7 linked regions of the Callithrix jacchus genome follow. The protein of the gene in region 3 interacts with the protein of the main gene of each other region in a pairwise test. Links are inferred from orthologs where the notes say so. Each region holds a gene or a part of one and is shown on either strand. Other genes may lie near its edges. The genes, in order: LZIC, SLC43A3, VCP, EPSTI1, UBXN8, LNX1 and RNF115.

Region 1 (3,673 bases), on a different chromosome or scaffold from region 3:
CTGACTTCAGGTGATCCACCTGCCTCGGCTTCCCAAAGTGCTGGGATTACAGATATGAGCCACCACACCCAGCCTGAGTTTTTGACAGTCATAAATCAATATGTAAAAAATAACCTGCCGGGTGAGGTGGCTCATGCCTGTAATTCCAGCACTTTGGGAGCCCAAGGCGGGTGGATCACCTGAGATCGGGAGTTCGAGATGAGCCTGACCAATATGGAGAAACCCTGTTTCTACTAAAATTACAAAATTAGCCAGGCATGGTGGCACATGCCTGTAATCCCAGCTACTCGGGAGGCTGAGGCAGGAGAATCGCTTGGACTCTGGAGGTGGAGTGGTGGTCAGACGAAATCACACCATTGCAGTCGGGCCTGGGCAAAAAGAGCAAAACTCCATCTAAAAAAAAAAAAAAACCCACTAAAAGTTCCAAATAAGGCATCAGTGGAGCTGAGGTCCTCTAATCTGTCTGGTTGGCAAAGCACCTAATAGTTTACAGTATAGAATAAGCTTTAAAAATGCTTTTAATTTGTATAAAGTACAAAACAAAAATATTGAGAAGCACATGATCCCCAGAATACTTAATTAAAATAAAGAAGGAAAAAAAAAAAAAAGAGAAGCACATGAAAGGATATAAAATGGCCAGAGCTTAAGAAATAAGCTAATATACACGCATATGGACATATCCACATATTTGAGCAAGCAGAGACATGTAAATACTCAGGAAATTTGCTTTTCCTCTTATTTTGTGTTTCTCCAAAAACTGAAGAGTAGATAACAGCTGACAGTTACCACCCTCTGAGTGTGACAAGAGGTCACACACAGGGAGGGCCTCTAGCTGCCATTTCCTATTGCTTCCCTGGTGAAACAACCAGGCTGGTAAGTCACTTTAGGAGACGCTCAACAGGGCTCCCATTGTTTCAACCTCAAAATTCTGAGATACAAGGGGCCCCATTCATACAGACAGCTTACAGGCTGGGGGATGGTCCCTTCATGTGCAGTCAACTTTTCAATGGGACACTGAATTTTCACAAACACTGACTTGCACAAATAGTGTTATTTTTTATAAAATGGTACAGAAATAAAATTCAAGATACTAAACTGGGAGCCAGGACACCTGAGTTTTACCTGTCAGTTCTCTAATGTAACTTTAAGCAAGTCACTTGCTCTTTCTGGACCTGTTTCCTTGTTTGTAAAAACAGAAATGATTTCTAAGATCCCTTGGAACTCTAAAATTCTATGAACACATATGAAGTCTACTGAGCTTGCTTCACTGTTCACTCCAATGAGTGGGGATAAGTTACAAGCAGAAAAATATCATTACTACACATCTTTTCATTCACTATCAACACTTAAACAGCCTTAATAAAAGCCAAGTCCACTTTGTTTTCTCTTTTAGACAAATCACAAGGAGCAGAGTTCAGTGAGTCCCTGTCACAGCAAGTTCAGGATCACTCAAGCAGGTAACCCCACACAATGCATAATGATGAAGAGCATAAACACAAGCCATAAGTATACTTTTATGTCACTTTTTCTTAGGTTATTGATGCATTTCCAGAATCTCTTCATTTCTTTGCATAACTGAAAACCCCCAGAGGAAAGACACCATTTACAATAAGAATGTGATCAATGTTACAAGCTTCTGCACCAGGTCATTTTTTTGTTTTTTCAACCTCAAAACTTGCCAGAGCAAGGACTTTGTCTCCAGAGCCTAAGAAGAAAGACACATAATAAACAAAAAGATTATTCAAGTGCAGTACAATTCCTAGTAAAGTGGGAAAAAAATCTATCATATAAACCAAAAATATAATTAGCCTCCATTACCAGTATATTAACGCCTACACGCTCCCATTGCCATCCCCATTTCCTTTCCTCTGCACAAACAACCCAGCTATAAAGGGAAATGTATTAGTTATAAATCCTTACTCCAGCTCTAGCTATGAAATAGAATATGTAAAATTTTATTTTAAAAATTTTTTGTGGTGGAGATAGGTCTTGCTCTGTTACCCAGGGTGGAGCAATGGCGTGATCTTGGCTCACTGCAGCCTCAGATGCCTGGGCTCAAGTGACTCTACTGACTCAACCTCTCGAGTAGCTAGAACTATAGGTGCATGCCACTACACCTGGCTAATTTTTTTCTTTTTAATTTTGTCGACAAAGTGTCTCACATGTTGCCTAGGCTGGTCTAGAACTCCTGGACTCAAGCATTTAATTTTAGTTTATTGTTATATTTACATCTATGTGACAAGTATTTTAAAAACATTAGACTGCATTAATTTATTTTTTATATTGGGAAATAAAACCAATACAACGGATTTATAAACAAAACAATTCTGGTTTCACTCTTAAGCTCAAGAAAAGGTTATTACATTATTTCGACCACACTCTCCATCAGTTTGGAGCAATAGCATATGACCAGCTTTCAGAAATATGAGGGCACTCACCAAGGTCTGTAGAGACTTTCTCAAACTGGCTGAGTATAGCACCTGCATTTGCCGACAAGAAGGCCTCATCATCTGCAGTCAGCTAAACAAAATGAAACAAAGTCTAGTTGAGTGAGTAAATGTTACAGGAGGTTCTAGAAACCAGTTAAGAATGTCTTAGGAGGCCGGGTGCGGTGGCTCAAGTCTGTAATCCCAGCACTTTGGGAGGCTGAGGCAGGTGGATCACAAGGTGAAGAGATCGAGACCATCCTGGTCAACATGGTGAAACCCCGTCTCTACTAAAAATACAAAAAATTAGCTGGGCATGGTGGCACGTGCCTGTAATCACAGCTATGCAGAAGGCTGAGGCAGGAGAATTGCCTGAACCCAGGAGGCGGAGGTTGAGCCAAGATCGTGCCATTGCACTCCAGCCTGGGTAACAAGAGCGAAACTCCGTCTCAAAAAAAAAAGAATGTCTTAGGAGGCTGGGCACAGTGGCTCACACCTGTAATCCCTGCATTTTGGAAGACTGAGGCAGGTGGATCACCTGAGGTCAGGAGTTTGAGATCAGCCTGGCCAGCATGGCCATGATGAAACCCCATCTCTACTAAAAATACAAAAATAAACTGGGCATGGTGATGTGTGCCTATAATCCAAGCTACTCAGGAGGCTGAGACAGAAGAATCACTTGAACCCGGGAGGTAGAGGTTGCAGTGAGCTGAGATCTCACCATTGGACTCCAGTCTAGGGAACAAAAGCAAAACTTTGTCTCAAAAAAAAAAAAAAGAGAAGGGGCCAGGCATGGTGGCTCATGCCTGTAATCCCAGCACTTTGGGAAGCTGAGGTGGGTGGATCACCTGAGGTCAGGAGTTCAAGACTAGCCTGGACAACAAGGCAAAACCCTGTCTCTACTAAAAATACAAAAATTAGCCAGGCATGGTGGTGGGCACCTGTAATTCCAACTACTTGGGAGGCTGAGGCAGGAGAATCACCTAAACCCGGGAGGTGGAGGTTGCAGTGAGCTGAGATCACACCACTGCACTCTAGCCTGGGCAACAAGAGTGAAACTCTGTCTCAAAAAAAAAAAAAAAAAAGTGTCTTAGGACCACAAACTAGACCACAGATCAAAATGTTCTGTATGAAAAATTCATACTTTTTCTTTGTATCTAATATATTAAATACTGGTACCTTTTCTCCAAGTTTCCTGAGAGCTGTTAGTATCTCCACTTTCTGTTGAGTGTACAGGTCTCTTTCCA
Region 2 (2,498 bases), on a different chromosome or scaffold from region 3:
GAGTAATCACAGGAGCAAAACCTCATGTGCTCCCACCACGTGTTAAGTAGTTGCAATGACTTTACACTCTCACAATCACCGTCAGGGATAGAAATCATTAACTGTTCTTTGCAGGTGGGGAAATTGTGACTCACAGTGGTTAAGGGACTTGCCCAGCTGCTGAGGGGCAGAGCTGAGACTCAAACTAAGACTCTGATTCCATCCAGTGCTTCTAGCTGGGAGTGTGAAGTGGGCAGCAGGGGTTCTGCTTAAGGTTAAGGGTGTGGAGAGGAAGAGGAAGCAGAGAGGTTCCCGGGGGAGGAAGTCTCTGGCCCCATGTTCCAGGACCAGTGGGGTGAATCCTAGTTGGGGTCCCTGCCCTACTTTTGGGTCTAGTTGCCACACTAGGATGTGTAGCCAGATTCTCCGCCCTCCCCTCATGCCAGAGTAGGGCCTCCTCAGGAACATACACATACACACACACAGCTCAGCCCCAAAGCCTAGAGAGATGGAAACAGTAGTTGCCTTAGACACTGAAGCTTTATTTTTCTACAAAATTATTCCCCAGAGAAATTTTCTTTTAAATGCCCAAAGTATATTCCTTCTTGAAGAGGAAAACATCCCCAAAGATGGTTTGTCAGAAATCCTTTGGTCGAGCAGGTCAGCTGGCTCCCATGACCCTTGGGACGGCCTGACTCTGTCACTGTCCCTAAAACCTTCTAGGACATCTGCTCCAGGAAGAACTTTCAACTCCAAAACTCATCTCATCCTACAGATGGGAAAGTGATTCTCAGACCAGACCAGGGTCAGGCCAAGGTCATCCAGCATCAGTGGCTGGGCTGAGACTGAGCCCAGGGAACCCTGCCTGCTCCTCTTTTTCCCAGAGCTCACTGTGAGTTCTCTAACCAAGGCAGTGCTCTGGAGGGAGAGCTAGGAGGGAGAGCTAGGAAGTATAGCTGAGGCCGTGACAACCTCACTCTTCACCTGAAAATTTAACCAGTGGCAGAGGATCTGGGCACACCTAGGCTTTAGAGCCAAACAGGCCTGAAGAAGTAGGTGACACACTTCCTCCCCACTGTCACCTCCCCTGGAATCAAGGGTCTGCCAAGGCTAAGCGCAAAGAGACACTTTGGTTTTTAAATAAAGGAGAAGTTCCACATGCCTTTGCTTTGTGTCTGTGTGATCTCAATCTGCTTGGCAACTGAGTGCGGCTCAGAAGTCGTTGTTAGCAGTTAAATATGTCTTTGTTTCTTTTTTTTTTTTTTGCCAGGATAGGCAAAGTCTTTCGGGGCACATAGTCCTCAAAGGTGGAGAAAGATAAGCAAAACCATCCTCAGGGCTGAAAAGCCAGGGCTTCTGAACTATGCAATTGCAGAGGGACTTTCTTTCCGAGCGCGGCATTCCCGGTATACCAGAAAGGGGTGGACGAATGTCAGAAGAATGGCAAGCAGGAGCATCACGTTTACCTGCAGGGAGAACAGGAGTGAGGTGAAATCCAGGAATTCTGAACAACAGAACTGTTGCTCAATGAAGCAAGCACCGGTCCATTCCAAGGCCAATGAAGGGACCAGAATTCTACTGAGTTTATAGTCTACTTTTCACTCAAACACTATGGTGCCCTGGAGGAAGCAGTTACTTTCTATTCTGAACTATGGGGTGGGGTGGGAGATAATAAGCCCATTTCACAGGTGAAGAAACGAGGCCTAGTGAGCATTCAGTGGCATGCTCAAAGTCACATGGGAAGCTGGTAGAGGCACCAGCTAGAATACAGATCTGATTTTTAGGTCACCTGATGTCACAATCAAGTCATTCGCCTCAGACTTCAAGTTTAGTCTTTTGGCCATACACGGTGGCTCACGGCTGTAATCACAGCACTTTGGAAGGCAGAGGCGATCACTGGAGGCCAGGAATTCAAAGCCAGCCTGGGCAACATAGCAAAACCCCAGTGTCTATCAAAAAATAGTAATAATAATAATAATAATTAGCTGGGAGTGGTGGCACATGCCTGTAGTGTCAGCTACCCAGGAAGCTAAGATGAAAGGATCACTTGAGCCCAGGAGACTGAGGCTGCAGTGAGCGAGACTGTGGCACTGCACTCCAGCCTGGGTGATGAAGAAAGACCCTGTCTTCCAAAACAAAAACAAAAAACATTTAGTCTTTCTTTTCTCCAAGTGATGAATTTTAAACTCTTATTCGACAACTTGCTGCTTTAAAAAATGAGGCAAATAGAGCTGTGCAGTGGTCAAGACACCGAATTCAATGTTGAAAGACTTTGGCTCCCTTGCTGGTGCCTCTGAACACATAAGTCATGTAACCTCTGTGGGCCTCAGTTTCTGCAAAGAACAGGGGAGTCATGCCCACCTCCTAGGGCAGGGCCCCAGAGCATCCCTCCAGGTGTAAGGACACAGAGGTGAAAGCACAGAGCTCCTGTCCCTGGGGCCAATTGTGGAAACTCAGCATGGACCTAGGGGAGAGGCTAGGGTGCGCCTGCACTCACCATAAGCAGGAAACACTTTTGA
Region 3 (3,500 bases):
GCAGGAGAATCACCTGAATTTGGGAGGCAGAGGTTGCAGTGAGCCATGCCTTTGTACTCCAGCCTCCATCTCAAAAAAAAAAAAAAGAGAACACTGAGTCCAGTGATGGCTGGAGATGGGCTAGGTAATAAGTTGGTATCACTGCTTGTTGAATGATCCTAGCTTCTAGGAAATAACAAACTGAGTGTAGACCCAGTTGACCTTGGTTTGGGTGAGAGGGATTTGGATTTGCCCCATGTCTCAGCATTTCTTTGTTTTGATTTTTTGAGCCAACTCTATGGAATTGTGCTTTTGCAGAAATTACTGTGCAATTTCTTTTGACCTTGAGCCTCTTTCTGGTGGGTTCATGTCTGTTAGTGTTTTTTCCAAATATGATGGTCTTTATGCTTGGCATTCCTTTGGTACCATGGAATCATCTCAGGGGAAGTTGTCTGGCTTACTTCATTCCCCTGGAAAGTTAGTTTATGCTTTATACTGTGGTGTTTTTTTTTGGAAGGCAGGGTTTCACCATGTTGGTCAGGCTGGTCTTGAACTCCCTACCTCAGGTGATCCGCCCACCTTGGCCTCCAAAGTGCTCGGATTACGGGTGTGATCTACCACGCCCAGCCCACTTTATACTGTTAATCATGGTGACCATTAATACCATGTGCCAGGTATTATGTTAAGCATTTTACATTCATTATCTCCATTAAGACAATAAACCTCTGAGATAAGTATTATACTCCCTATTTTATAGGGGAGGACATCAAAGTTTAGAGGTTAGGTAACTTGCCCAAGATCACAAGCGGGAGCAGAATTGGAATTTAGACCCAATGGGTCTGACTATAGAGTTCCTGCTCTTAACCACTCTTCTGTAAGTCTAAGACTGCTTTTATTTCTCTAATAACTATTTAGCCTCCATTTCTATTATGTCTTATTCTTAGGCTGTTTTCTGATCCTGGGGCAGGATTACTCACTTGGGGCCTTATAGCTGGACACTGATGCTCAAAATACCAGGAGCTGATGGAATGGATATTCTAATGTGTGTGGAATGGATATTCTAATGGATATATCTAATGCTAGATATTCTTCTTGTGACCTTGGCTGCCTTTCCTTCATCTGAGCTCTCTGGTTTAGGGACAGCTTCATCTAGTCACTATTTCTTTCTTGAGTTTTAGAGACTGGTGAGGCTCTTGGGGCTGGAGTATCTATTGGGACTGACTCAGTTTTCTCCTTCTAGTTCAAAAGGTGATGACTTATCAACAGCCATTCTCAAACAGAAGAACCGTCCCAATAGGTTAATTGTTGATGAAGCCATCAATGAGGACAACAGTGTGGTGTCCTTGTCCCAGGTAAGCTGAGGCCACAGACTAGTCTTTCCTTATTGGACTTACTTGAGGGATTTTCCCAGGTTTCTTTTCTCATTTTTCTTGCAGTGACTGCAGATAGAGTGGGGTTTACTGGGACTCCCAATCTCCAGGGCTGCTGCTTACTCCCTTCTGCCCAGTGACCAAAAGGCCTTAACCTTCTTTCCTCAGCCCAAGATGGATGAATTGCAGTTGTTCCGAGGTGACACAGTGTTGCTGAAAGGAAAGAAGAGACGAGAAGCTGTTTGCATCGTCCTTTCTGATGACACGTGTTCTGATGAGAAGATTCGAATGAATAGAGTTGTTCGGAATAACCTTCGTGTACGCCTAGGGGATGTCATCAGGTGTGTGTGTGGTTTTTGGCTCTGCAGGGATGGGAGGCCAGAGATAGCCTGCATTCTAGGCAGGACCCATGTATTACACAGGCAGGACCAAGTTCTTGGCACCTGTAGATATAGGAAGCCTCCTGGCCATGGGAAGACTTACACTTCAGGGTTGTCTTTAGATTTTGGTTCTGCCTTCCTGGGATTCGCAGATTTTCTCTGAATGTCCCTTGAGACAAATTGGCATTCCTATAACTTTCCTGATGCCCTATTTTTTCCTACCAGAGATGTAATTTATCATACTTAAAGCTTGGTTTAGGATGCCACTTGAGGGTATGTATCTGCTAAATGACCTCCTCACTACTCTCACTAGTATGTCCAATTAATGGCTTCGGATTGGAATGAGGTTGCGGTATGGGCATGGAAGGTGAGCTGGTAGCAGACCTTTTAAGCACCTAAATTAACTAGGGAGAAAGGGATAGTTGAAGTCAGACCCAGGATAGCTCCATTGAGAGTGATTTTGCTTATTCTTGCATAATTTTAGGCAAGAAGTTACCCCAACTTGGAGTCATCTCTTGCCACTCCTATCCAGCCAACCATCACCTGGCCAGGATCATCTTAGGCTTCTGATACTTTTTAATGGAGTCTGAGTTTCATGTAACTTTCTTCCTGATGGTGCTTAGTCACTTTCTCAAGGTGTTCTGACCACCTGGCAGAGATAATTTTATTTTTTTCACTTCTGTTTCTCTGACCCTGACAATTACTAGCTTAAGATCTTCTTTTGTAATATTGGGTCATCAATATTAGCTAAGGGGATTATCCTAGCATATCTCACTGAAGACTCAGCATATCTTTGTGGGGTTTCTAAATGTGTAGCTCTTGATTTTGGCTCACTGATTAGGAGTGAGTGGGGCTGTTCTTTTGCTCTCACTTCCACCCTGTTCTCCTTCCGCTCTTCACCTAAAGCCATCCCTGCCTTTTCTTTTTTACTTACTATCAGCTATCTCTGCCAGGCCCTTTTGGACACCCAGTGCTTGGGCCCGAAGTGTGGTTGGTAATATGGAGTCTGCTTGTCATCCTCAGCATCCAGCCATGCCCTGATGTGAAGTATGGCAAACGTATCCATGTGCTGCCTATTGATGACACGGTGGAAGGCATTACTGGTAATCTCTTTGAGGTATACCTTAAGCCGTACTTCCTGGAAGCTTATCGACCCATCCGGAAAGGTGAGAGCTAATTCTGAGCTTAAGGATTGTTGATTGTTGAGTTTTTGCACACTAGGTCATGGAATGATTTAGAGAAACTCAGCTTGGAATGTCTTCATCTCATTTTCTTTTTCTTCTTTTTTTGATCTTTTATGCTTTTCCCTTGTATTTATTTATTTATTTTTTAAGAGATGGGGTCAGCCCAGTGCCGTGGCTCACGCCTACAATCCCAGCACTTTGGGAGACTGAGGCAGGTGAATCACCTGAGGCCAGGAGTTCAAGACCAGCCTGGCCAACATGGCAAAACCCCATTGTGGGTGCCTGTAATCCCAGGTATCTGGGAGGCTGAGGCACGAGAATTGCTTGAACCCAGGAAGTGGAGGTTGCAGTGAGCAAAGATCAGGCCACTGCACTCCAGCCTGGGTGACAGAATGAGACTCTGTCTCAAAAAAAGAAAGAAAGAAAGAGATGGGGTCTCACTATGATGCCCAGGCTGGTCTCAAACTGCTGGGCTCAAGTGATCCACCTGCCTTGGCCTCCCAAAGTGCTGTGATTATAGGCATGAACCATCATACCTAGTCTCACTTTTATATATTTGTATACACACATGCATCCTGCATACAGAT
Region 4 (3,969 bases), on a different chromosome or scaffold from region 3:
TTGCCACTTATTTTACTAGGGTTTTTTTGTTTGTTTGTTTGTTTTGAGATGGAGTTTCGCTCTTGTTACCCAGGCTGGAGTGCAATGGCGCGATCTCGGCTCACCGCAACCTCCGCCTCCTGGGTTCAGCCAATTCTCCTGCCTCAGCCTCCAGAGTAGCTGGGATTACAGGCACGCGCCACCATGCCCAGCTAATTTTTTGTATTTCTTTTTTTAGTACAGATGGGGTTTCACCATGTTGACCAGGATGGTCTCGATCTTTTGACCTCGTGATCCACCCGCCTCGGCCTCCCAAAGTGCTGGGATTACAGGCGTGAGCCACCGCGCCCGGCCTTTCCTCGGTTTTTCAACTCCATTAAAGGAAACAAATGAGAAAGTGAATCTAAGTAACTAAAGGAGATCATCAAACAGGATCTCAGACATCAAAGCCCTGAAAGGGGATATATAATTCTGTACTGACTGCAACCGCTTCACACACACAAAAAGGGGGACTCTGTGAGAGAGAACTAAACTCTTCCTGGTATTTTTTAATGGGTTATTTGAAAATCTTTTTAGGAATTGCAGGGTTTTAAGACCTGGGTAACCAATCAGAAAACTCTCTTTCTGACCAATTTGGTCTAGTAAGATTCCAGGGTAATTACGACCACATAAGAAAACAGATAGATGCAACTGTTAATGCTTATGTGATGATACGAGCTTCCAAATAAATGGTTAGATCTAAACAAATGCTGGCCGGGCGTGGTGGCTCACGCCTGTAATCCCAGCACTTTGGGAGGCCAAGGCGGGTGGATCACGAGGTCAAGGGATCAAGACCATCCTGGTCAACACGGGGAAACCCCGTCTCTACTAAAGATACAAAAAATTAGCTGGACATGTGGCACATGCCTGTAGTCCCAGCTACTCAGGAGGCTGAGGCAGGAGAATTGCCTGAACCCAGGAGGCAGAGGTTGCGGTGAGCCGAGATCGTGCCATTGCACTCCAGCCTGGGTAACAAGAGCGAAACTCCGTCTCAAAAAAAAAAAAGACCTAAACAAATGCTTTTTAAAAAGTCATGCAAATGGTATTCGTCATTAACTACTCATGGAGATGAGACCACATGTCTATGACCTTTGTTACTGTTAAGTACTATAGCTTGTATATTTCAAAGTAAAGGCCTGCTTCTCTTGTGGTGAGACACCAATTACTCTGAGAAGGAGAGAAATGCGACCATCTCTAATTGATTTCCAGCTTCTCTGCCCCATGTAAGGGTGAACCTAAGCTGAATAATAATATTAAAGGCCTGGTGCTTCCAAAAGGAATGAAAGAAAATCTGCTGTTCATCAGTCATAAGGATACATACGGTTCCTTAGCAACCAGGGCTTGGCTTTCATACGATTAGAAGTCGATGGAAAAGGAGACACTGAAAATAAAACCATTTGGACAGTTCCAGTTCACAGAGGCAGCACTTTAAAGGCAGTGACGTTGTGATAAGCCATACTGTTGACTTAAAGAAGTTCATTCCATTGGGGGGAAAGAGAGGCCCGTGACACTTGCTTAATAAATGTTTCCTGGATATTCACTGCAGTCGCTGAAGCAAAAGCCAGGAATAAATGCTACCTATGAGTTCCTGCATGGAGCACACATCAAAGGGACAAGAGATACTACCGTCACTCACCTCCTCACTGTCTCAGCTCCACTCCTCTGGTTCTAAGAGGCTAGTTTATCTGGGAGTCTTGCTGGGATTCAGGCTTGCTCCGAGCTAGAGGCAGAATCTGAATTTTCTACACCATGTCACGTTTCCTGTTGACCCTTACCTGCTGGTGTCTGATATAGTAATTCCAATTAGGGCACCAAATTTTGTTATTTTGTTTTGTTTTGAGACAGAGTCTCACTCTGTTGCCCAAGCTGGAGTGCAATGGTGTGATCTCGGCTCACTGCAACCTCCGCCTCCTAGGTTCAAACTATTCTCCTACCTTAGCCTCCGAGGTAGCTGGGACCACAGGTGCGTGCTACCACATGCAGCTCATTTTTTATTTTTAGTAAAGACGGGGTTTCACTATATTGGCCAGGCTGGTTTCGAACTCCTGACCTTAGGTGATCCGCCGGCCCTGACCTCCCAAGGTGCTGGGATTACAGGCTTGAGCCAACGCGCCCTACCAGGCATCACGTTTTTAAAAACAGTAAGGGAAAACCCATTTCCATACTGGTTGGAGTATGAGTTCTGGAGATACCTGGAAAATGACATCGTACTGGATGCCTAGGGGGTTTCTAAACACCGCGTCTTTCAACTCTGTCGTCAGTCACCAAAGTCAGGAGAGTGATGTTCCTGGAAGGAACCCGCCTGAGTATTTACCGAAGGGCTGCAAACTAGCCGACTCAGTTTATAAGGAAAGGCATGAGTGCTTTCATTAAAGCAAATGAGTTTTTCATTCAGTCAAAATCCCTGTGGTTTCAAACTCCAAGGACCATGAAGGTGCTTGTGAGTACGTTTGGGGCCCGGGCTCCCGCCCCCAAAACAGGTTGTTAAAACACTTACTGCCTCCGAGCCGCTTGCACGATGCTCTCCCGCGAAGGGCTCTCGGGGGCGGCCTCCAAACCGTGTCTCTGGTCTTGCAGCGGGCCCAGCTCCCCGTGCCGCCCATAAGGGTCCTGGGGGTCCCGGGGGTCCCGGGGGTCCCGGGCCGGGCGGGAGGCAGGGGAGGCGCCGAGCCCGGAGCTCGCCACTCGGCTGCGGGTGTACATGGCTCACAGCCCGCGGGTCCCGCGCCGCCGGCCGCTGCTGGAGGGGAGCGGCTGGGGCGCCCCGCGAGTCTCGAGATGCGATTCCAAAGTGCAAGGGCAGCGCTTTTAACGGCTGAGTTTCGGTTTCCCGGTGTCAGCTGCAGACTGCGCCGCCCCAGAGAACTTCCCCATCCTTTCTCCACGGAGGCGCCCTCCGGCCTCATCCCCAGTTAACGGCGGGGGGATGTTGACTGGAGCCGGCTTGGGTCGCTACAGGTGAGACCGTTTAAAGTCTCACAGTCCACCTTAGAGGTTAATCAGAATAACTGTGACCAGCCACGGACACCTGTTGAGCGACTGGCCCGTAAAGTGACTGCAATCCTGAAACATAATTGAGAAACTGTTAACAGGTAACTCTAATTTAAGGTTACCGCTGGATATTTGAGGCTATAAAAAAAATAGTAACCTTAAAAGACCAGAGATTAGGTTAGTAGCTAAAATCATCTCAACAAAATGTTGCCTCTTATCAGGAATGACTGCTGTGTGGCTGTTACCAACGCAGATACTTTCAAGTTACAGGAAATGGAAACTGAAATCAAAAGAAAACAAAAACCAAAAACCGGCGAAGATGAAGTAAGGTAGACATGATTCTCCAGGCAGCCTTGCTAAGTAATTCACTAGACATTGGAGAGCTATTAAATACCTGCTCTGTGCAGAGCAGTGTGCGATGGTGATGTGGGGCTGTTTAAAAATATGGATTTGTGGCCAGGCACGGTGGCTCACGCCGGTAATCCCAGCACTTTCCTAGGCCAAAAGAGGTGGATCACCTGAGGTCGGGAGTTTGAGACCAGCCTGACTAACATGAAGAAACCTCGTCTCTACTGAAAATACAAAGTTAGCCAGGCATGGTGACGCAGGCCTGTAATCCCAGCTACTTGGGAGGCTGAAGCAGGAGAATCCCTTGAATCCAGGAAGCGGAGGATGTGGTGAGCTGAGATTGCGCCACTGCACTCCAGCCTGGGCAACAAGAGCGAATCTCCATCTAAAAATACATATATATTTATATATATATATGGACTTGCAAGACTCAGTTTCTGTAGGTCCGTGGGTGAACTATGGCATTCATATTTTTGAAGAGCTCTGAGATGATTCTGAGGTGTGCCAGTATTCTCGCCAGTGTCACAATGCTGTCCTACACAAAGATGAGTGAAGGCTCTTCCCTCACATTACCTGCATTCTGGGAGTATTCTAGGAGACAGGTAAACAAAT
Region 5 (4,089 bases), on a different chromosome or scaffold from region 3:
GCTGAGGCAGGAGACCTGCTTGAAACCAGGAAGTGGAAGTTGCAGTGAGCTGAGATTGTACCACTGCACTCCAGCCTGTGTGATAGAGTGACAGACTCTGTGTCCAAAAAAAAAAAATTTAGCTTAAGTATAAGCAAAATGTATTGACAATAAAGGTTTTTACACAGTAGAAAAAGACAAGGCTAGTTTTCCAATATATGTCTGAATATTAGAGGCATAACCAGCCCTGCTGCCGCTATAAAGTATGATTTGTAAAACTGATTTAAATACTGTTAACAAGTAATTATTGGAAGCTCACTATCAAGAATCCAAAAGCAGCAAAATATGTATATGTGTGTGTGTATAAAGAAAGCCAAAAAAAAAAAAAAAAAAGAAAACAATCCAAATGAAACAATCATTCCTTCAGAATTCTATGAGAAAGAAGCTAATTCCATGAAAATTTCAAGAACTAGATAAAGATGCTGCCAGGAGCCTGGTTGCAATTTCCAGAACCCTTGTCCCTAGTTCTATTAAACTAGACACTGTGGTAAGTTCTGGGAATACAAATACAGATTTCATTTGGCCTCTGCCTTCAAGAAGCATATTTCTGACTGGGCATGGTGGCGCATGCCTGTAATCCCAGTACTTTGGGAGGCCGAGGTGAGGGAATTGCTTGAGCCTAGGAGTTTCATACTAGCCTGGGCAACATGGCAAAACCCCATCTCCGCAAAAAATACAAAAAAATTAGCTAGGCATGGTGATGTGGTGCTTGTAGTCCTAGCTACTCAGAAGGCTGAGGTGGGAGGATAACTTGAGCCGGGAAGTCCAGGCTTCAGTAAGCCATGACCAGGCCACTGCAGCCTGGGTGACTGAGCAAGACCTCGTCTCAAAAAATAGTAATAATAAAATAAAGGAGCAGAGTAGGAGTGGATGTTGAAAAGACAAGGGAACAGGTCAATTTGGGAAATGGTAAGTGTGAATTCAACATTTCTGATCCTTTGGATAAAGGTCTTGTTATATTTTAACACAGCTTGAGTGAGTGGGAAGCTTCAGGAAAGTCTTTGTACATTTTTTAAAGCATTTTTTCCCCATTTTTTATTGCAGGCAACATTTCTAGACATCTTACTCCTTGGGGGTAGGGAGAAAAGGTGGAGAAAGGGAGTATACAAAGCTCAGTTTCATTATGGTCTCTAACTTTAGAACTGATTTTAAAAAGGGAGACAGACATGTAAACTGATCACTCAAATGTCCAAAAATCAACTCATGATTCTCAGCACCTCCACCAGTTTTCTTTCCCTTTTCCCTTTACCAGTAGCACTACCAACCACCTAGGTTTGTTCAATTCCCCCATGAGGCAGTCATCCTTGAATCCTTCCTTTCCCTTGCCACAAACATCAACCCATCAACAAAGCCTGTTGGTTGATCCTATTTCATCAATATCCCAAATCTGTCTACATTTTAACTCCTGTTACTGTCCTACTCCAAGCCATCACTACTTGTCTACTTGCAAAGCCTGATGTACCTCACTGCTTCCACCATAGCTTCCATCCAAAGCATTCTCCATACAGAATGGAGCTACCTTTTTAAAACCTTAGGGAAGTCACTTAACCTCCCTAAATTTCAGTTCCCTCAACTGTAAAATGGGGGTTATAATAGTGCCTACCCAGCCAGGAGCAATACCTCTGGCTTGTAATCCCAGCACTTTGGGAGGCCAAGATGGGTGGATCAGGAGGTCAGGAGTTCAAGATCAGCCTGGCCAAGATTGTGAAACCCCGTCTCTACTAAAAATACAAAAATTAACCAGGTGTGGTGGCTGGCGTCTGTAATCCCAGTTACTCGAGAGTCTGAGGCAGAGAATTGCTTGAACCTGGAAGACAGAGATTGCAGTGAGCCAAGATCTCACCACTGCACTCCTACCTGGGTAAGAGAGGGAGACTCCGTTGGGGGTGGGGGGTGGGGGGAAGGGGGATCTACCTTCTTCTGATTGTAGTGTAGATTAAATGACATATTGAATAACCAGTACCTACTGCTTGGTTTACAATAGGTGTTCAATAAACGTCATTATCCTGAGCCAATTCCTCTTCCTCTCCCCAACTCTCCTCGATTCAGCCATAATGGCCTTCTTCTCCTTTTCCTCCAACATCTCACAAACTTTTTGCCTAGAATACTCCCCTCCCCCATCCCTTCCCTGCCCCCACGGGATTTTCACGGGTGTGGCCCCTTATTTACATCTCAAAGCCTGGTGGAGTGGCGCAGGCCTGTAACCCCAGCACTTTGAGAGACTGAGGCAGGAGGATCTCTTGAATCAAGGAGTTCGGGGCCAGCCTTGGCAACATAGTGAGATCCTGTCTCTAATTTAAAAACAAAACAAAAACCTCTCAGCCTAATAAATTCTTAGAAGGCCTTCATCCTATCAGTCTGTTTATTCCCTTTTGAGTGTTAACGAGGATGTGAAAATACTGTTATGACTGCCATTATGCTCTTCGCCTCTGTCCTGTCACACGCAAAACCATCACACCTGTAGGGAAAAGGTTCTGCGAAGTGGAGTCAGCACCGGAAGTAGGAGGCACGGGCGATGCAGTCGGGGAGTTGTAGTCAAAGCTGCTCCGAAGCGACGCAGCCGGAGAGTTGGTCATTCTATGCAACATTCCTGTGAAAATTACCAGCTGTGACTGTCGAAGGGAAAAAGCCAACACTTGCCTATATCCGGGATCCCACGCCGGAGCTCCAGACACACAAGGGGGACAGCAGAGAGAAAGAAAATGCCAACAACCTCCCGTAAAGCCATGGTGGCGGAAGCGCCTGGTCCAGGTGGAAAGCCCACCCCTTCCGGCCGCTTTTGTCAGGGAGGAAGTGCATCTTCTCCTGCGGCGGGGAGGCTGAGAGAGAGCGGAATCCTACGGCTGCGTTGTTATTGATGGGGCCTGTATTTTTAATTCAGTCTGTAGCCGTGTTTCAGAAGAAAGGCAAGTCGTCCCCCAGATGACATGATGTCCAGAAGAGCGTGGGCTCTAGGGTGGTGGCTCCTTGGAGGGTAGCAGGGCAGAGGCTGCCCCTTCGGTTTCCGTAGCGTCGGTGAGTAAGCGCTCTCCAGAGGGAAATGAAGCCGAAGGGAAAGCTGATGCTGTGAGGAGACAGCCTGTTCCCGTGGCCTTGTGGCCGTAGACTGTGAATGTGAGCTGTAGCACCTTTCTTATCTCCCTAACGGTTCCTGGCCCTGTCCACAGTCTTTGGTTCCTGCGTTAAGACAACTCAAAAGCGGGGCCTGGCTCCAACCACCTACCCCCAACACGAATGTCCTAGCGCCAGGTCCTACCCCTTGCTCCGCCCCTTATCAGTTTTGCCAGCACGCGTTGTTAACTGTGACCTCATAATTCTGTGACCTCATTGCCATCCTATAACTCACCACTGTGCACTTCTCCCAAGCCACTGAGGTCTCCCAACCTACAACATTTCATACTTGGAAGTTATCTTTCCTGGCCAGGCACGGTGGCTCACACCTGTAATCTCAGCACTTTTGGAGGCCGAGGCAGGCAGTTCAAGAGGTCAGAGTTTGAGACCAGTCTGTCCAACTTGGTGAAACCCGTCTGTACTAAAAATACAAAAATTAGCTGGCCTTGGTGGCGGGCGCCTGTAATCCCAGCTAACTCAAGAGGCTGAAGCAGGAGAATTACTTGAGCTCGGTAGTCAGAGGTTGCAGTGAGACAATTTTGTGCAGCTGCACTCTAGCCTGGACGACAGAACAAGACTCCATCTCAAAAAGAAAAGAAAAGAAAATTATCTCCTGGCCGGGTGTGGTGGCTGACGCCTGTAATTCCAGCACTTTGGGAGAAAAAAAATTCTTTTTCCTGACCTGTCCATCTGTTCTCCCACCTCTTCAGTTTAGTTCATCTGACTTTTATTTTTTGAGACGGAGTTTCGCTCTTGTTACCCAGGCTGGAGTGCAGTGGCGCGATCTCGGCTCACTGCAACCTCCGCCTCCTGGGTTCAAGCAATTCTCCTGCCTCAGCCTCCCGAGTACCTGGGACTACAGGCGCGCACCACCATGCCCAGCTAATTTTTGTATTTTTAGTAGAGACGGGGTTTCACCTTATTGACCAGGATGGTCTC
Region 6 (3,500 bases), on a different chromosome or scaffold from region 3:
CCTCAGCGCCACACCTCACATGTGGTTGAAAGAGTAAGAAGAGCAAATATATATTGCATTTATCACATGCCAGTCATTGTTTTAAATGCTTTTCACTCATTAACTATAATTATTCTTCTTCATATGCATAACACTAGCACCTGAAGGTAAGGGTTTCAATACTTTTTTCTTCCATCTATGTAAAAAGACAATAATTTCTGCCTTAGGCTGCTTATGTGAGAAGTGGGCTAATCAAAGTAAAAAATATTGTATACTCTTGGGAAGAGAGGGGTCACAGAAGGTGGGTGGTGATCAGATGGCATCATCCCTGAAGTCACCCTGGAAGCCCAGCCCGTATCCTTCCAGCCTTGTAGGGAGTTCATTTACCTTCAGGAGCAGTGGTGTTTTCAGAATGTTCCCTGCCCTGGTCAGCGTGATTGGCAACTGTACTCCCGCTCTTTGTCCTTCGAAGAACACTCAAGGCTCGATTTATTTTTTTAAAAGATCTGCTTCTAATAGAGGATCTTTCAAAAGGCCGTGCTGAGGAAAAGAGAGGAACAGTAGTTACGATTTAGTAGAAATCATCATTTACTTACATATCTGATAAGATATATACAATAAAACATTAACAGTGACTACCTCTAGGTGGTGGGACTGTAGAATTTGCTTACCTGTATTTTCTAAGTTTTCTACAGTGAAATATGTAGGACTTGTTTAAAATCCTGCTTTTCTTTTTTGTTTTCTGGGCTGAACTGAACACAATAGCACTTTTCTTGAGCAGAGTGGCTGAGAAATTACTGACACTGCAGGAGTGATGAATCATTAGGTCTCGTTTCAGCCCCTTTCACCAAGTCAGATTACACACAGTTGTAATGATCGGAGGTACTTGTGGTTCATTTCACTTTGGAGAATTGGACATTGGCTTCCTGCCAAAACTACCAGAATAATTTCCCCTTAAAAAAAAACATTTCTAGAACTTTCCACAGTAAGTATTCCACAGAGGGCAATCCCAAGCCAAGGAGCCCATTCCTGGACAACCACCCATTTGACTCACCCCTAGTTCGGTTGCTCCGGCCAGAGTCCACTGGGCTGATCGCTGGCTGACTGTCCTCCGCCGTGGACACGTAGGCAGGGTTGTCTAGGCCAGGCTCGTCTGTCATTAAGGGGATGGTGGCAGCTGAAGAAACCTCTGGGAAGGGAGCCGTGGCTGTGAGGCTCGCACAGCCGTCTGGACAGCCATCTTGTGAGCGCCTCTTCCTGTCTTTGGTCAGGCCGTAGTGGGAGGCACCTTTACAGCTGTAACAAAACCAGTGGGGAGGTGAGGAAGAGCTTTGGCTCTCCTGCCACACCTCAGTCAGACCTCTTCAAATACAATCAATGCGTAAAACGGGCTTGTTGGACTTGGAATCTGATTTGCCTGCCCCTGTATCCTCTCTTCCCTTTTCACAGGTTGGTACTCAACACACATTTGCCAACCAAGTGAATTCACAATTTGAGATTTTTTTTAAAGATGCCCACTGTATTCTCTTAAAGCATTCTCTGCATTAGCTGCTGGAATGCAAATATATTCAAGTCGCCATGGCATCTACATGACCAGCGCTTGAGGTTGGCGATGTTCAACTGTTCGGTAATTCCTGCTTGCTGGTGTTTATTTTGACCCTGAAAGCCCTTAGTCACACTCTCACTCCTTTCTTTTGGATTTTGTTCCCACAGCACAACATAAATATGAAGCTCCTCCCAGATTCCATATTTAACTGTCCATGGAAACACGACCACCCTCGCCACAAAGCCACAGGAGTGAGTTTGTTCAGCACTGCTATCCTCTGGCGGCAGCTCGGTGGCTTCCCTTCTCTTTCTCTAGGCTGGTCTGGGAGGGCCTCTCTGGTGCTAGGGGCTCCCGTGACCTGAAAAGTGTCATTCATTGCTATGCTGTCTAGCATTAAGAGAGTAAAACAGCTTTTGTGGTTTTTAGCAAAAGCATATTTGTCTCTACCCATTCACTGTCCATGTTATAAAAAAAAAACCAAAAACTGTGAGAAAGGCAACTTAATGGTACAATAGAGAGAAGCTGAAAAAGAACAATTCTTGAGGCTCAGGAGACAAGGTTTGAGCTGATCTAGGTCCATATTTTGCCTTGAACATGAACACTGCCACTGGGCAAGTCATTTCAGTGCACAGGCTAGGTTTGGGTCAGGAAATAGTGATTTAGCTATCTCACTGCACTGTGGTGGGGGTAGCTACAGGTAGTCACTCCAGTTCCCAAAGTTGTGAAGGCAAAAATCATACCATGAGCCCCTTTAAGAAGTGTCCATTTGCATATGATGAATGTGTTAATTATAAATTCTTATCAATTCATTAGGCAAAACCCCGTATGATTGAGCTATATTAAATAACCCTTTGATATCCTACTTGAGAGATGCTTCATGTTTTTCAAAATAGTTGAAATCAAAGGTCAATCTACAGTGATTTGCTCACATGATTTGTACTGCCCATAAAACCACAGAAATGGCAGAATGGAAGGTCCTATTGTCTAGATCCAAATCCTTGCTCTGAGATTTACGTAGCTGGGTGATCTGGGGAGATTTTATTTACCTGGTTAACCTTCCCAATTTGCATATACTTTCTGGATTGCTGTGAAGTTTGATCGACATTAAGTCTTATCAGGAATGTAGTGCTTTTTGCCAAAAGTACTAGAATGCAAATTCATTAAAGTCATCATGACTACATGACTACAATCAGATCTGATGAGACTGTAGCTATTTTTTAGACATGTTAAAGCATGAAAAGAACATCTTAGTCTAAGTCCCTTTTAGACCATTTCATCTTCATCTGCAGATGCTCTTTTCAGGCTTTAACATGTCTGAGATCAGGATGCATGTGTGATTGATGGGCCTGTGTGGTTTCTGTTGCCAGGCAGCAGTCATGGTGCAGATGCCACCATCCCAGCATGGCAAACCCAGTTTATATGTACCTCTTGTCACTTCCACTGAGTCAGCTACATGCTTGGTATTACACTAATGAGTTTAACTGCCATTTGAATGTTTTAGAAAAGATTATATCATGATTCAGTACTAGAATCAAAAATTATAGAAAGCCTCAAAACCAGAGCAATTGGATATCGATGAAGCACATATTCCTTGTTAGAAGCAGAATCACAATTCCTATTTTCTTGCAAAGGGACAAGTAAATGTTTTATTTTGGAAAGATCTTTAGAAAGATACCCCTAAGAGAATCAAAGTGGTGTTACATTTTGTTATTGAGAACACTCAAAGAATTGCCTATTTCATGCCAAGCAACACAACCGAGGGCAGAAGCTGCCGCCAAATTCATTTGAATGGATTTCAAAGCCACAAGAGTCTGGTGTGACCAATCTATGCCTCATGGGGATATCTCTGGTGTTTGGGGATTATTTAACTGATGGGACATTTTTAAATGTCCTCTTCTTTGCTGGCATATAAAACATGCTATCTCTTATCATGAATGGCATCTTAGATTAGATTAAATGTAGTTTTAATATTAGC
Region 7 (2,898 bases), on a different chromosome or scaffold from region 3:
ATGTGACAGTTCTCAGGGTTACTTAAGTGTGCAGTACTCCCAGCTTCTCAGGCCAGGATCTTCACATAGACTAATACTTTTCTGTTTCAGCATGACACATGTCCTGTATGTAGGAAGAGCTTAAATGGTGAGGACTCTACTCAGCAAAGCCAGAGCTCTGAGGCCTCTGCAAGCAACAGATTTAGCAATGACAGTCAGCTACATGACCGATGGACTTTCTGAAGCTAAAGACCACACCTGAATCAGGGCTATGGTAATCATCTGACCATAGCTGTAAATTGTATCAAAACAAAAAATTAGTAGATGGATATAGGAATCACATAAGAAACCCAACGCATAATATTAATGCAATGAATGTTTTTCTTCTCTAAATTTAAAGTTAGTATCTACAGATGGAATTGTATCTACAACCAAATGCCTCTTATTCGTGAATTCAGAGTGATAATTTTATAAGTGTGAAACTGAATTATGTAGTACTCCCCCCACCTGAATGGAATCAATCCCTTAGTCTGGTTAGGGTCCTGCTATCTGCCATGTCGCCTTTGTAACAGAGGTTTCCACCTCCTTCTCCACCCTCTACCCCACCATTAGGGTATTTTACTGTAAAAACAGTGGAACCACAGCCCTAAAGTCCTGCTGATATAAGTCCTTTTGTCTTAATTATATTTAAAAAAATCTACTCTTGATCACATTAGCTGTGAGGTGAGGCCAAATTAATTCAGGAATCTAAGACTAATGATTTTGTTTTGTCTTGATTCCTGGAGCACAAATCAAAGAATTACGGTGAGAAGGGAAAAGGGCTTTACCATCATGTGCTTAGTTTTCTTACTTTCATTTTTAAAGACTACTTCTGTTGATGCAGTTTCCCCAGAAAGCTACATAATGTATTTTGGGAGCCTTATGTTGGTAGGAATCTGATTCCATTTCCTTTTTGGGAAAGAGTTGGGCAGCATACATTGCTTTGAAGAGTGTAAAAAATGATCCCCAACTCACTGATTTTGTTTGTTTCTTTCTGTTGCCTAGGCTGGAGTACAGTGGCACGATCTCAGCTTACCACAGCCTCGACCTCCCAGGCTCAAGTGATCCTCCCACCCCAGCCTCCCGAGTAGCTGGGGCTACAGGCGTGTGCCACTATGCCTGGGTAATATCTGTGTTTTTATAGAGACAGGGTTTTGCCATGTTGCCCAGGCTGGTCTCAAACTCCTGGGCTCAAGCGATCCTCCTGCCTCAACATCTCAAAGTGCTCAACTCATTGTTTACTGTCTTTTTTCCTAGTAATCTTAAAATAATTTGTGTCACAGAAATAGATGCAGTAAGCATCTTCAGCCAGTTCACTGTTTTTAGTAACTCATTGGTCTTCAGGAGTTCAGATTTTACGTTGTCACATTTTAACTCTTTAAGCCTATTTTTCATCTTTTCCGCTTGGTTCTGGCTATACTGACCAACGTGATCATGTCCAAATCAGCTTGGCCTGGGAGAGGTAGGCCTTATATTTTCAGCCTAGTAGCACCCCATGCCCATGCTCTTTGTAGTATTTAAGTGTTTAACGTTGAATAAATGAAGAAGGTAAGGAATGTTGTGTAAACTTCAAAATCTCAAAAGGGGAGACATGTAACAGCTGTTGGTGTGCCTGAAGAAGGTATAGAGGGGCACCATTAATGTTGTCACATTAGCCTTTGACAGTTTACTATGATCAGAACAAGAGCACCACTCTCTAATGGGTTTCTTTCTTGGCTAGAAGTCTTTCCCAGTTTCTGTTGACTATCATATGCTGATTTGTGGGTGATGGAAGGGGGCTAGAGATACCTTTTCCTGTACTTTGGTAGCGGATAAAGGAGTCAGGGAGGGCAAAGAAAAAGTTGGGGAGTGGCCTGCTGCAATAATAGCCTGCTTCTAAAAGTTGTGACCAGAAAGTATGATTCAGCTGGGCTCAGAGGGAATAAAAGATGTTTTCTCATATACCTCCCATATTACACCTCTGTAGTGATTGTTTATTTGGGGAATGAGATCTACTTACTGTGGGTAGCCCCTGAAATATAGCTTGAGAATACACATTGGTTTTGAACTGGGGAGGGAGACTTAAGGAAATGAGGTGAATTATGAATATTTGGCCGTGACTTAGATGGAGGAAGGCTGTGTTGAAGTTGGAACACATTAGAGTTTTCAAGAACACAATGTCAGTTGTCTCATTAGAGTTTTCAAGAACACAATGTCAGTTGTCTCAGAAAAATTATCACAGCCTGAACGCTTTTGTTTGTCTGTCAGCGTCTGGAAATGCCAGGACAGGCAGTAGTTTTACTTTCTGCTAGAGAACTAATGCCTAGAGAACTAGAAAGGATCTGAGTTCTTTACAAAGATCTGAAAGCTTTACAAGTGGTAGAGACAAAGTGCTGGATAGGGATCTGCCTTTTTATACACAGTATAGCACATAGCATCAGACTAAGTTACCTGAAATTTTCTTCACTGTTTTTGCTCTGATGGATAGAGGACGTGAGACTCATTTTGCTGTTTCCCAGACCTGTCCCTCTTAACAAATCTGTTGTGTTTCTTCTCATAATGGGAGGTACCTCAGATGTCCAGGTTAATTTACGTTGAGGAGTTAGGGTTCTTTGTGGATTTATTATTATTATTATTATTATTATTATTGAGACAGAGTCTCTCACTCTGTCACCTACACTGGTGGGCAGTGGCATGATCTCAGCTCACTGCAACATCTGCGTCCTGGGTTCCAGTGATTCTTCTGCCTCGGCCTCCCAAGCAGCCAAGATTACAGGTATCTGCCACGATGCCCAGCTAATGTTTTATATTTTTAGTAGGGATGGGGTTTTGCCATGTTGGCCAGGCTGGTCTTAAACTCCTGACCTCAGGTGATCTGCCTGCCTTGGCCTCCCGAAGTGC

Evidence for each region.
Region 1: the proteins of VCP (region 3) and LZIC interact in binary tests that used the Homo sapiens proteins (3 or more experiments, as listed by UniProt). The link is inferred for Callithrix jacchus from reciprocal best matches to the Homo sapiens genes VCP and LZIC.
Region 2: the proteins of VCP (region 3) and SLC43A3 interact in binary tests that used the Homo sapiens proteins (3 or more experiments, as listed by UniProt). The link is inferred for Callithrix jacchus from reciprocal best matches to the Homo sapiens genes VCP and SLC43A3.
Region 4: the proteins of VCP (region 3) and EPSTI1 interact in binary tests that used the Homo sapiens proteins (3 or more experiments, as listed by UniProt). The link is inferred for Callithrix jacchus from reciprocal best matches to the Homo sapiens genes VCP and EPSTI1.
Region 5: the proteins of VCP (region 3) and UBXN8 interact in binary tests that used the Homo sapiens proteins (3 or more experiments, as listed by UniProt). The link is inferred for Callithrix jacchus from reciprocal best matches to the Homo sapiens genes VCP and UBXN8.
Region 6: the proteins of VCP (region 3) and LNX1 interact in binary tests that used the Homo sapiens proteins (3 or more experiments, as listed by UniProt). The link is inferred for Callithrix jacchus from reciprocal best matches to the Homo sapiens genes VCP and LNX1.
Region 7: the proteins of VCP (region 3) and RNF115 interact in binary tests that used the Homo sapiens proteins (3 or more experiments, as listed by UniProt). The link is inferred for Callithrix jacchus from reciprocal best matches to the Homo sapiens genes VCP and RNF115.

What each region holds. Positions count from the first base shown.
Region 1 is NC_133508.1:47,804,845-47,808,517, forward strand, and holds the end of LZIC (protein LZIC), read right to left. Parts: coding exon 3,606-3,673; intron 2,521-3,605; coding exon 2,439-2,520; intron 1,706-2,438; coding exon 1,647-1,705; 3' UTR 501-1,646; downstream 1-500.
Region 2 is NC_133511.1:114,978,404-114,980,901, forward strand, and holds the end of SLC43A3 (equilibrative nucleobase transporter 1), read right to left. Parts: intron 1,446-2,498; coding exon 1,341-1,445; coding exon of another isoform or gene 1,192-1,340; 3' UTR 501-1,191; downstream 1-500. UniProt on the Homo sapiens protein: Sodium-independent purine-selective nucleobase transporter which mediates the equilibrative transport of extracellular purine nucleobases such as adenine, guanine and hypoxanthine.
Region 3 is NC_133502.1:141,946,447-141,949,946, reverse strand, and holds part of VCP (transitional endoplasmic reticulum ATPase), read left to right. Parts: intron 1-1,219; coding exon 1,220-1,331; intron 1,332-1,415; exon of another isoform or gene 1,416-1,517; coding exon 1,518-1,690; intron 1,691-2,752; coding exon 2,753-2,895; intron 2,896-3,500. UniProt on the Homo sapiens protein: Necessary for the fragmentation of Golgi stacks during mitosis and for their reassembly after mitosis. Involved in the formation of the transitional endoplasmic reticulum (tER).
Region 4 is NC_133506.1:162,102,008-162,105,976, forward strand, and holds the start of EPSTI1 (epithelial-stromal interaction protein 1), read right to left. Parts: upstream 2,801-3,969; 5' UTR 2,722-2,800; coding exon 2,516-2,721; intron 1-2,515. UniProt on the Homo sapiens protein: Plays a role in M1 macrophage polarization and is required for the proper regulation of gene expression during M1 versus M2 macrophage differentiation.
Region 5 is NC_133514.1:31,904,008-31,908,096, reverse strand, and holds the start of UBXN8 (UBX domain-containing protein 8), read right to left. Parts: upstream 2,801-4,089; 5' UTR 2,768-2,800; coding exon of another isoform or gene 2,680-2,767; 5' UTR 2,628-2,679; coding exon 2,498-2,627; intron 1-2,497. UniProt on the Homo sapiens protein: Involved in endoplasmic reticulum-associated degradation (ERAD) for misfolded lumenal proteins, possibly by tethering VCP to the endoplasmic reticulum membrane. May play a role in reproduction.
Region 6 is NC_133504.1:143,185,764-143,189,263, reverse strand, and holds part of LNX1 (E3 ubiquitin-protein ligase LNX), read right to left. Parts: intron 1,276-3,500; coding exon 1,034-1,275; intron 520-1,033; coding exon 367-519; intron 1-366.
Region 7 is NC_133519.1:8,177,533-8,180,430, reverse strand, and holds part of RNF115 (E3 ubiquitin-protein ligase RNF115), read left to right. Parts: intron 1-90; coding exon 91-222; 3' UTR 223-2,898. UniProt on the Homo sapiens protein: E3 ubiquitin-protein ligase that catalyzes the 'Lys-48'- and/or 'Lys-63'-linked polyubiquitination of various substrates and thereby plays a role in a number of signaling pathways including autophagy, innate immunity, cell proliferation and cell death.